Rattus norvegicus: one gene and its partner. The protein of the gene in region 1 purifies or fractionates together with the protein of each later gene. This does not show direct contact. Links are inferred from orthologs where the notes say so. Each region holds a gene or a part of one and is shown on either strand. Other genes may lie near its edges. The genes, in order: Nfx1 and Larp1.

What was found.
Region 2: the proteins of Nfx1 (region 1) and Larp1 purify together in Homo sapiens (affinity purification with mass spectrometry, with the first as the bait; 3 studies listed by BioGRID). This does not show direct contact. The link is inferred for Rattus norvegicus from reciprocal best matches to the Homo sapiens genes NFX1 and LARP1.

What each region holds. Positions count from the first base shown.
Region 1 is NC_086023.1:60,914,470-60,918,284, reverse strand, and holds part of Nfx1 (transcriptional repressor NF-X1), read right to left. Parts: intron 3,613-3,815; coding exon 3,535-3,612; intron 1,727-3,534; coding exon 1,621-1,726; intron 1-1,620. UniProt on the Homo sapiens protein: Binds to the X-box motif of MHC class II genes and represses their expression. May play an important role in regulating the duration of an inflammatory response by limiting the period in which MHC class II molecules are induced by interferon-gamma.
Region 2 is NC_086028.1:42,722,552-42,726,366, reverse strand, and holds part of Larp1 (la-related protein 1), read right to left. Parts: intron 1,708-3,815; coding exon 1,646-1,707; intron 1,427-1,645; coding exon 1,361-1,426; intron 559-1,360; coding exon 384-558; intron 1-383. UniProt on the Homo sapiens protein: RNA-binding protein that regulates the translation of specific target mRNA species downstream of the mTORC1 complex, in function of growth signals and nutrient availability.

The DNA of each region.
Region 1 (3,815 bases):
AGAAGGAAGGGAGAAAGGGAGGGAAGGAGGAAGGAAAGGAGGGAAGGAGGAAGGGAGGGAGAGAAGAAAGAAGGGAAGGAGGGAGGGAGGGAGGGAAGGAGGGAGAGGGGGAGGGAAGAAGGTTCACAGGAAGGGATGGACCCACAGTGCTCACATCTACCAAGACCATGAGAAGTACAGACAACCAGGCCCTGGGCTGAACACGGTTACAGTGCAAAGATGGCAAGCACAGGGACAGTATGCCAGTAAGCCACGGGGGCAGATGAGTGGTGTATAATTCCAACACAGGGGCAAGAGGCTGTGGGAAAACTGAGCTTAGTGATGTCTCTACTAGAACTAGACATCTGACAGAATGCTGTATAGAAGCTAGAACAAGAAAAAAAAAATTAAATTTTAGTATTTCAGGTAAATATTGCCTTCATGGAAAACTGTCAATTATAGACTGGTTAAGAAATTCTACTGAACAAAAATATTTTTGGAAGTTAAGAAAAAATTATTGTGTGTGTGTGTGTGTGTGTGTGTGTGTGTGTGTGTGTGTGTGTGTGTGTGTGTTTGGGAGAGTCAGTTCTCTTCATTCACCATGTAGATCCCAGTGTTGGCAGCAAGCACCTTACCCATAAGTCATCTCACTTAACCCTATTTCTGGGATATTACAAATTGTGGAGGGGTGATTTCTGCTGAGAACAGCAGCTCACAACCAGCACCGAGGAAGCTGAGGTCTGAGGATAACAGAGTGGCTGACAGCAGCTAGGGCTATAGCATGAAACCCCATCTCAAAACACAGAACAAAGTAAGACAGGGCTTAGCAAGGTGCCCACTCCGAGTCTGCTAACCCGCTGCCTTTCATTTCTAGAGCCCATGTAAAGGTGGAAGCACAGTATGACTGCATGAATGCTCCTCTGGCTTCCACAGGATGATGGATCTTTAAACGACTGCTCCACACACGGGTATCATGTATTTCTGATGATGTTCAACACACACACACACACACACACACACACACACACACACACACACACACACTCACACACACACACACACACACACACACACACACACACACACACAGAGCCTTCTCTTATCCTCCCTCCACAGGCTGGAGATGGGTTGGTAATTAAGAGCATTTGCTGCTCTTCCAGGAGACCTGGGTTCAAGTCCCAGCTTACATGTGTCTGCCTGCAGTTTGTATCCTGAGGAGGGACATTCTAAATGACGGCAAATACCGAATTTGTGAGAAAGAGGAACAAATATTCTTCACACCTCCAAGTCCTATCGTACAGGCTGCTGCACAAATGAACACCTTTCCCTGGATGTCCTACAAAAATGCCTTTAACTTTTTTTCTTAAAACCAGCAGTGTAAAACAGCAGGATTGTTGGCTTTGATACACAACTTTATCACATCCTCGCATTCTTTCTGAGCCTCATCTGTGAAGTGGAAACCATCATACCTACAGACAGCACTGGGCTGTGGGAAGGATTTCACTACTTAGTAGGGTGTCTGCTCAGCGAACGGTTCGCATCACTCTTTCCCCTTCCTGTTACATGACAACAGTATGCACGCTCAAAGCCACTAGCAAAGCCCTTCTAGGGAATCCCCAGAAGTCTGCTTTCCCAACTTACAGATTACAGGAATGTGGACAGTCCTGGCCAGGCTGTTTCTTTCTACAAACTTCACCACAACTGTGCGGAATTTCATTTCTGCTCCATTCAGGGTTCTTTACTTTGCCTATGACAAATCAAATGGGAGAGTCAATGCTATAAATTCCAACCACACCCTCAACGTCTATGAAACGGCTAGGCGATGTGAAACTGAAGCCTGTGCACTGCTCTCAGCAGGACGGCATCTGCTGTCTGTTGTACACTCTGAAGCAAAGCTGGCTGTAACGCCACTTAGCCTACAACCTACTGAGCACGGTGAAAAAGATAAGCAACTTTTACCAGTGAAAATGACATTTTGTACTACTGAACATAATCTATTTTTTGAGATATTTACTAGATAAGCCATTGATAAATCTTCTTAAACTGACAAGTGTCTGTGATGATGACCAGAAGGAAAGAAAGGAAGAGTGCCAGGGCACAGCTCAGTGGTAGGGCATGTCTTAACATGCTCTGGGGTCTGCTCCAGCACTGCGGGGAGCTCACGGGGTGGAAAAAGAAAGGGACTGAACCAGGAAGAGGCTGTGGGATGGACAGAGAGAAATCCCACAGAGGAGCCTGGCTCTGAAGCTTCCCAGTAGGCATAAAAGGGCTGAACTTTCATTGTCAATGTCTATATAAATCTTCATGGACACCTCTCTAAGCTTGGGTCTCAGAGTGAAATGCTATCTCAGAAAAGCAAAAATAAATATATATCCCTTAATATAATTGAGGTTTGCTATAATTTTATCTGCCTGACTTGCCAGTGACATCATATCTAATTTACATTATCTTCCTAGTATGATACTCAATCAAGAATATTCATACCCTTTACTAATATCGATTTAATATTCTGAACTCAGATTTTGGTAACAAATCATATAGAAACAGCAGATTTCACATAAAGAGAAGCTAAAGTGAGAAGGACTAACAAAAGGAGCTTCCTTTGGGGAAAAACAGCACTTGGAAGTGAGAGAGTTAAATGAAGACATAATGAAGGGGGAGTGGTAGAGTGCTTACCTAGCTTTCAGGAGGCCCTGGGATTGAGCCCAGCACCACAAAAAGGGTGGGGATGCAGAACATGTTTGCTAGTGAAGGAATTAAGTTATTGAGTAGCAACCAGCCATTGTGAGGGGGAAAAAAAAGAGGACTATAAGCAAGCTGGTTAGGACAATAAAGACAGTATACAAAAAGAAATAGAACAGGCTAATTTTTCTTCTTTATGAAAACAATGGTCAAAAGTGTCAAGGGAGTCATCTGCCAAAAAGTTAATTACATAAGCCTATATGGCACTGTGACTGATGAGTTTTGAATACAGTTTCAGTGAGATAACAAAGGCAGATGCAAAAACCTAATGGTTCAAAGGGAGAAACAAACCGTCAGGAATTAAATCAACTAGATTAATCACTATAAGGAGAAAAAAGACATACAGCTAGCAGTAGGAATTCATCTGGACCAAAGAAAACTGATGCTATTAAAGATCAGGAAAAGTGGCTAGACAGGGTGGCATATCTTTAATCCCAGCAGGCAGACCTCTGAGTTCAAGTCTAGCCTGGTTTGCATAGTAAGTTCCAGGCCAGCCAGGGCTAACATAGTGAGACCCTGTCTGAAAACAAAACCAGGAAAAACTAGTGCACAGAGAGGGAATACAAGGATAGTTTGTGTTACCAATTCCTAGAAAAGCTCTCCATTATGAAGTTACACAGTTCATTTCTTATTAAGCACTGCTTTACTCGTGCTGCTTAGATCTACAATGTCAAAGCTGTTGCAGCACCCAGGCCTACGAACCCACCTGGGACACAATACACAGGACAACAGAACATCCTCTTATAACTCTCAAGTCTTCTCAATAACCTCTCACTGAGGTGAGTGCCACACTGCAGACACAAACTTACTTACCACAGAAACAAGTGTAGGTACTGGGAACATGTGCAGAAACATTCTGACAAGCGGGGCACCTCCAACCACTCTGGCCATCTGGAGAGAGAGGGAGAGAGAGAGAGAGAGAGAAAGAGAGAGAGAGAGAGAGAGGGAGGGAGGGAGAGAGAATGAATATAAGTACAATTTCTTACACAGTGTAAGCTGGATTGGGGATATAGCTCATTGGTAAGGAATGTGCTTTGTTTACACAAGGCCCTAGGCTTAATCTTTGCACCCTCTTGAAAAAATTTAAAAACAAT
Region 2 (3,815 bases), on another chromosome or scaffold:
TAGGCTCCCTTCACACATGTGACACATCACTGCCTGTGACAACCTTGTGGGGCCATTCTAGGTGGAGTGAGCAGGAACAAGGGAGCCACCTTGGATGGAGAGGCTGCTGTGCTTAATGAGTTAAGAGTTGCCACCTCAAGCCTGGCCTGCAGACACAGAATAGGTCTCGGAGAGAAAGCAGTCAAGCCTGTATCATTTCAACAGGTTTAAGAAACTCTTAGAGCAATATAAAAGCCCGTATAAGAGAAGATGCACTAAGGCTGAGCAAAAGCTGCTCCAAGCAGTCAGTCACCCCCTGGCCTGAAGTTCCTCCAGCAGGTCAGGCTTATGTCATTTCAAAGTTCTGAAAGGTACACCTCCCGGGTCCTGGCCAAGCCACTTACCTTTCTTCTTCTGCCCGCCTCGCTGGCAGTCCTCATCCCCATTCTTTTCCTCCCCCGATTCATCCGACTTTGTTTTTGGGCTCTCCTTACTATCACTTCCATCTCCTTTCTCCTGCTCCTTCATGTCCTTCTTGGGTGGCAGCTTACGGGCAGGCTGAGGCTTGTGGGACTGTGGCTACAAGAGGCAAGGAAACATGTGGTCACTGGGGAAGTATAAGGACAGGCTACACTAGATACATCCTAAGGTCTAGCTTTCATACTCAGACAACACCACTACAAAACACGACCATACCAGCTATGGAAGAACAACTGATTGTTCTAGCTACCCAAATCTGTGGGATAGAAAAGATGCTGGCCTGTCTGTACCAAAACCTCTACCATAAGGGACCCACTGGGGCAGTCACTAGCTCAGAACAAAAGTGATGAGTGGAACTGAACTGACCAAGAAAGAGTCTCTTCTGCTAGAATCTAGGGGAGCTAAGTATACCTCCCCAAACTGGAGTCAGTGCCTCAACTGATACCTCTTTTTTCAATTACTCATAGAAAAATGTGGCTCAGTAATGGAAAAATATGGGCTTTGGAAAACTGTAACACAGTTGTTTCCTAAACCCGCTGAGCCACCACTGGAAGGCAAAAAAGAACAGTGCCTGGCACCCCTGAAACCAGGCAAAGGCTCACATGATGGTAATTCCTAATTATTTCATTCCTGTCCATCTTAAATAACTACTCTTCATTTGTTGAGAATTGAAGGGGGTTGGGAGTCCTATGTCTCAAAGGATGGCCTTGAACTCTTGGACTGAGTATAGTCATCCTTCTTTATCCTTTTGAGTAGCTGGGATTTCAGAAGTATACATACTATTGTGCTCACCGACCACTCCTTTTCAAAAATCAAGAAAGGTGGTGTTTATGGCTCTTGGTCAAAAACCAACTAAGTCAGTATGAAGAGTACTTGAACCTGCCAACCCCTCCTCACTCACCTGCACACTTTTGTGGGCTATTTCTCCAGGTGTAGGCCAGTTGATTGCATCTCCAAAGTCACCAACCTGCAAGGTATCGTCTATGAAGGCCTTGGGGTTACTCTGCCTGCCATTTTGCTCCACACCCAAGCTCTAGCTCTTTTTAGAGATAGGGACACAACAGTGTGTGCACTCAGACACCATGCAATGGCACCCATAAAGGCTTCCATGCTCTTAGAGAAGGGCCCGAAGTGCTTATGAGAACAAGAATAATGAGCGCCCACAGGGACACTCCCCGGTCTTTACCTTGCTGCCCTTACGCTGTTTGGGAGCAGCTGCCCTCACCACCTTGGCCGGAGCAGAAGGTTCTGTGGGAACAAAGAGAAAGAATCAGCTGTCAGAGCCTATGTCATTACCATGCCCATCCCACCATGCACCTACAGGTTCCCAAAGGAGCCACAGCAGAAAGGGCAACAATATAAACTGGCAGCCTAGCCACCAAGCTGCTCAACACTGAAGTGGGAAAACCCTTAGAGTCTAAGTCTGTATTTTTTATGAGTTATCAACTGAGTCTCAAGGTCCATAACCAAGTCTACACTGTAACTCAGAGCTCCAAATCTATAGGCAAAACCTGTAAGGAGATTGAGTCTTCTGTATACTTCTGCAAGCCCAAAGAAAATAAAGCTAAACATGTGAATGGACACGTCCAGGGCCATACCAAGGCCTGCTGTGTCCTCGCTGACATGTAGTTGAAGTAAGAACTACCTTTTCTGTTCCTAAAGAAAAGGCATACTCCGATTTGACTCTAAAGTTCAATTTTGTGAGACAACATTTCCCAGTGTAGCCCTGACTGGCTTGGAACTTGTCAGCAGATCAGACTGCTGAACTCATAGAGATCTCCCCCCGACACATCCTTTGCCTCCCAAGCATGCCACCATACCTGGCCAGTTTCATCTTTTAGATTGAACCCCAATAATACAAGTGAGACAAGAGCTATACACAATTTCAACTCCAACAGTACTAAAATCACCGAATTTCAATTCATCCACTTTCACAATAGCCATTAGAATATACTGGTCTTTGGTTATGTGGAGATAGACACATAGAAGATGATGACTTCATCTGTTTTCTATAGAACAGAGGAGCGTGTATGTAATCATGCATCTGTGGGGCATATATTTAACTTTTCTACAAAGACGAAGATGGCTTTTAAGGAACAGAGTACGCAAGTCTAGAAGAAGTGGCTCTGGTTAGTTTGGTCCTGAAAACCAAGGGTGTCTTGTCCCTCCTGCCTCTAGAGATCCACGGGAAGAAACACAACCTGAGATTCTGCTCACTCACTTTAGCTTGTACTTCCCTCCTCTGCCATGTCAGGTCAGGAACTACCCTAGCCTCCAAGCACAGAAACCTGGCTGGCTGGCCTCACAAGGTTTTTCAACAGACTATGTCCTTTAATGAGAAGAAAGTGTCCTTGCCCAGTTCCTAAGGGTGAAGCCAATTCATTCCTGGCTTCTGGCCGGTTACTGGAGCCACTGTCCCCTAATGGTGGACATAAGTCTTCTGATAGCTGGAGTTGTTGAGCCCACAGCAACCTCCAGGGCTGAGAAGCAGAAAACTAGAAAATCTCAGGTGCAAGAAAACCACTGTCCTTTGACCCCAGGTTGACCCAGATAAGCCATTGAACATTTAGTAGTTCCTTGACTGGTCTAAAGCTCCTCACACGAGCCGAGCAAGTGTGGTAGTAGATGCCTTTAATGCCAGCACTCAGGTGGCAGAGACAAAGGATCTCTGGAAATCTGAGGACAGCCTAATCTACAAAGTAAGTTCCAGGACACCCAGGGATATACCGACCATCTAACAACTAAACAGATCTTCATCCAATTCAGCCCAGGGCCTGGACAGTGGCCGCCCACCTGAGCTACAACTGGAGTCATTTCTTCATGTGCTCAACAGCATTGGTACATGCTAGCAGGAAAGCAAGCCCCAAAGCTAGTGACAAAGTTTACAACAAGAATTGTATGCACGCTGGGGATTTGGCTCAGTGGTAGAGCACTTGCCTAGCAACCGCAAGGCCCTGGGTTCGGTCCCCAGCTCTGGAAAAAAAAAGAAAGAAAGAAAGAAAGAATTCTATGCACAAGGACTGGAAGTAAGGTATACCGAAAATCATCTCTGAAAAGAGGGCAAAAGTTTCCAGACACTGGTCTTTTCAAGTCTCTTGGTCTGAGTAAAATATACCTTGCCTCGCCAGGAAATGGAGAATCAACTCTCACAAGCTGTCCTCGGATTTCCACAAGCATGCCCTGGTGCTCCCCCCAAAAAACAAACAAAATAAACAAACATAATAAAGCCTTTTAAAGCTATTTTCTCAAGCATTTTAAAAGAAGGGTCTTGCTCTGTAGCCCAAAAGCAGTCTCAAATTTCCAGCAATTCCCCTGCCACAGCCTACGAAGTGCTGGAATTCCAGATGTATATCCTT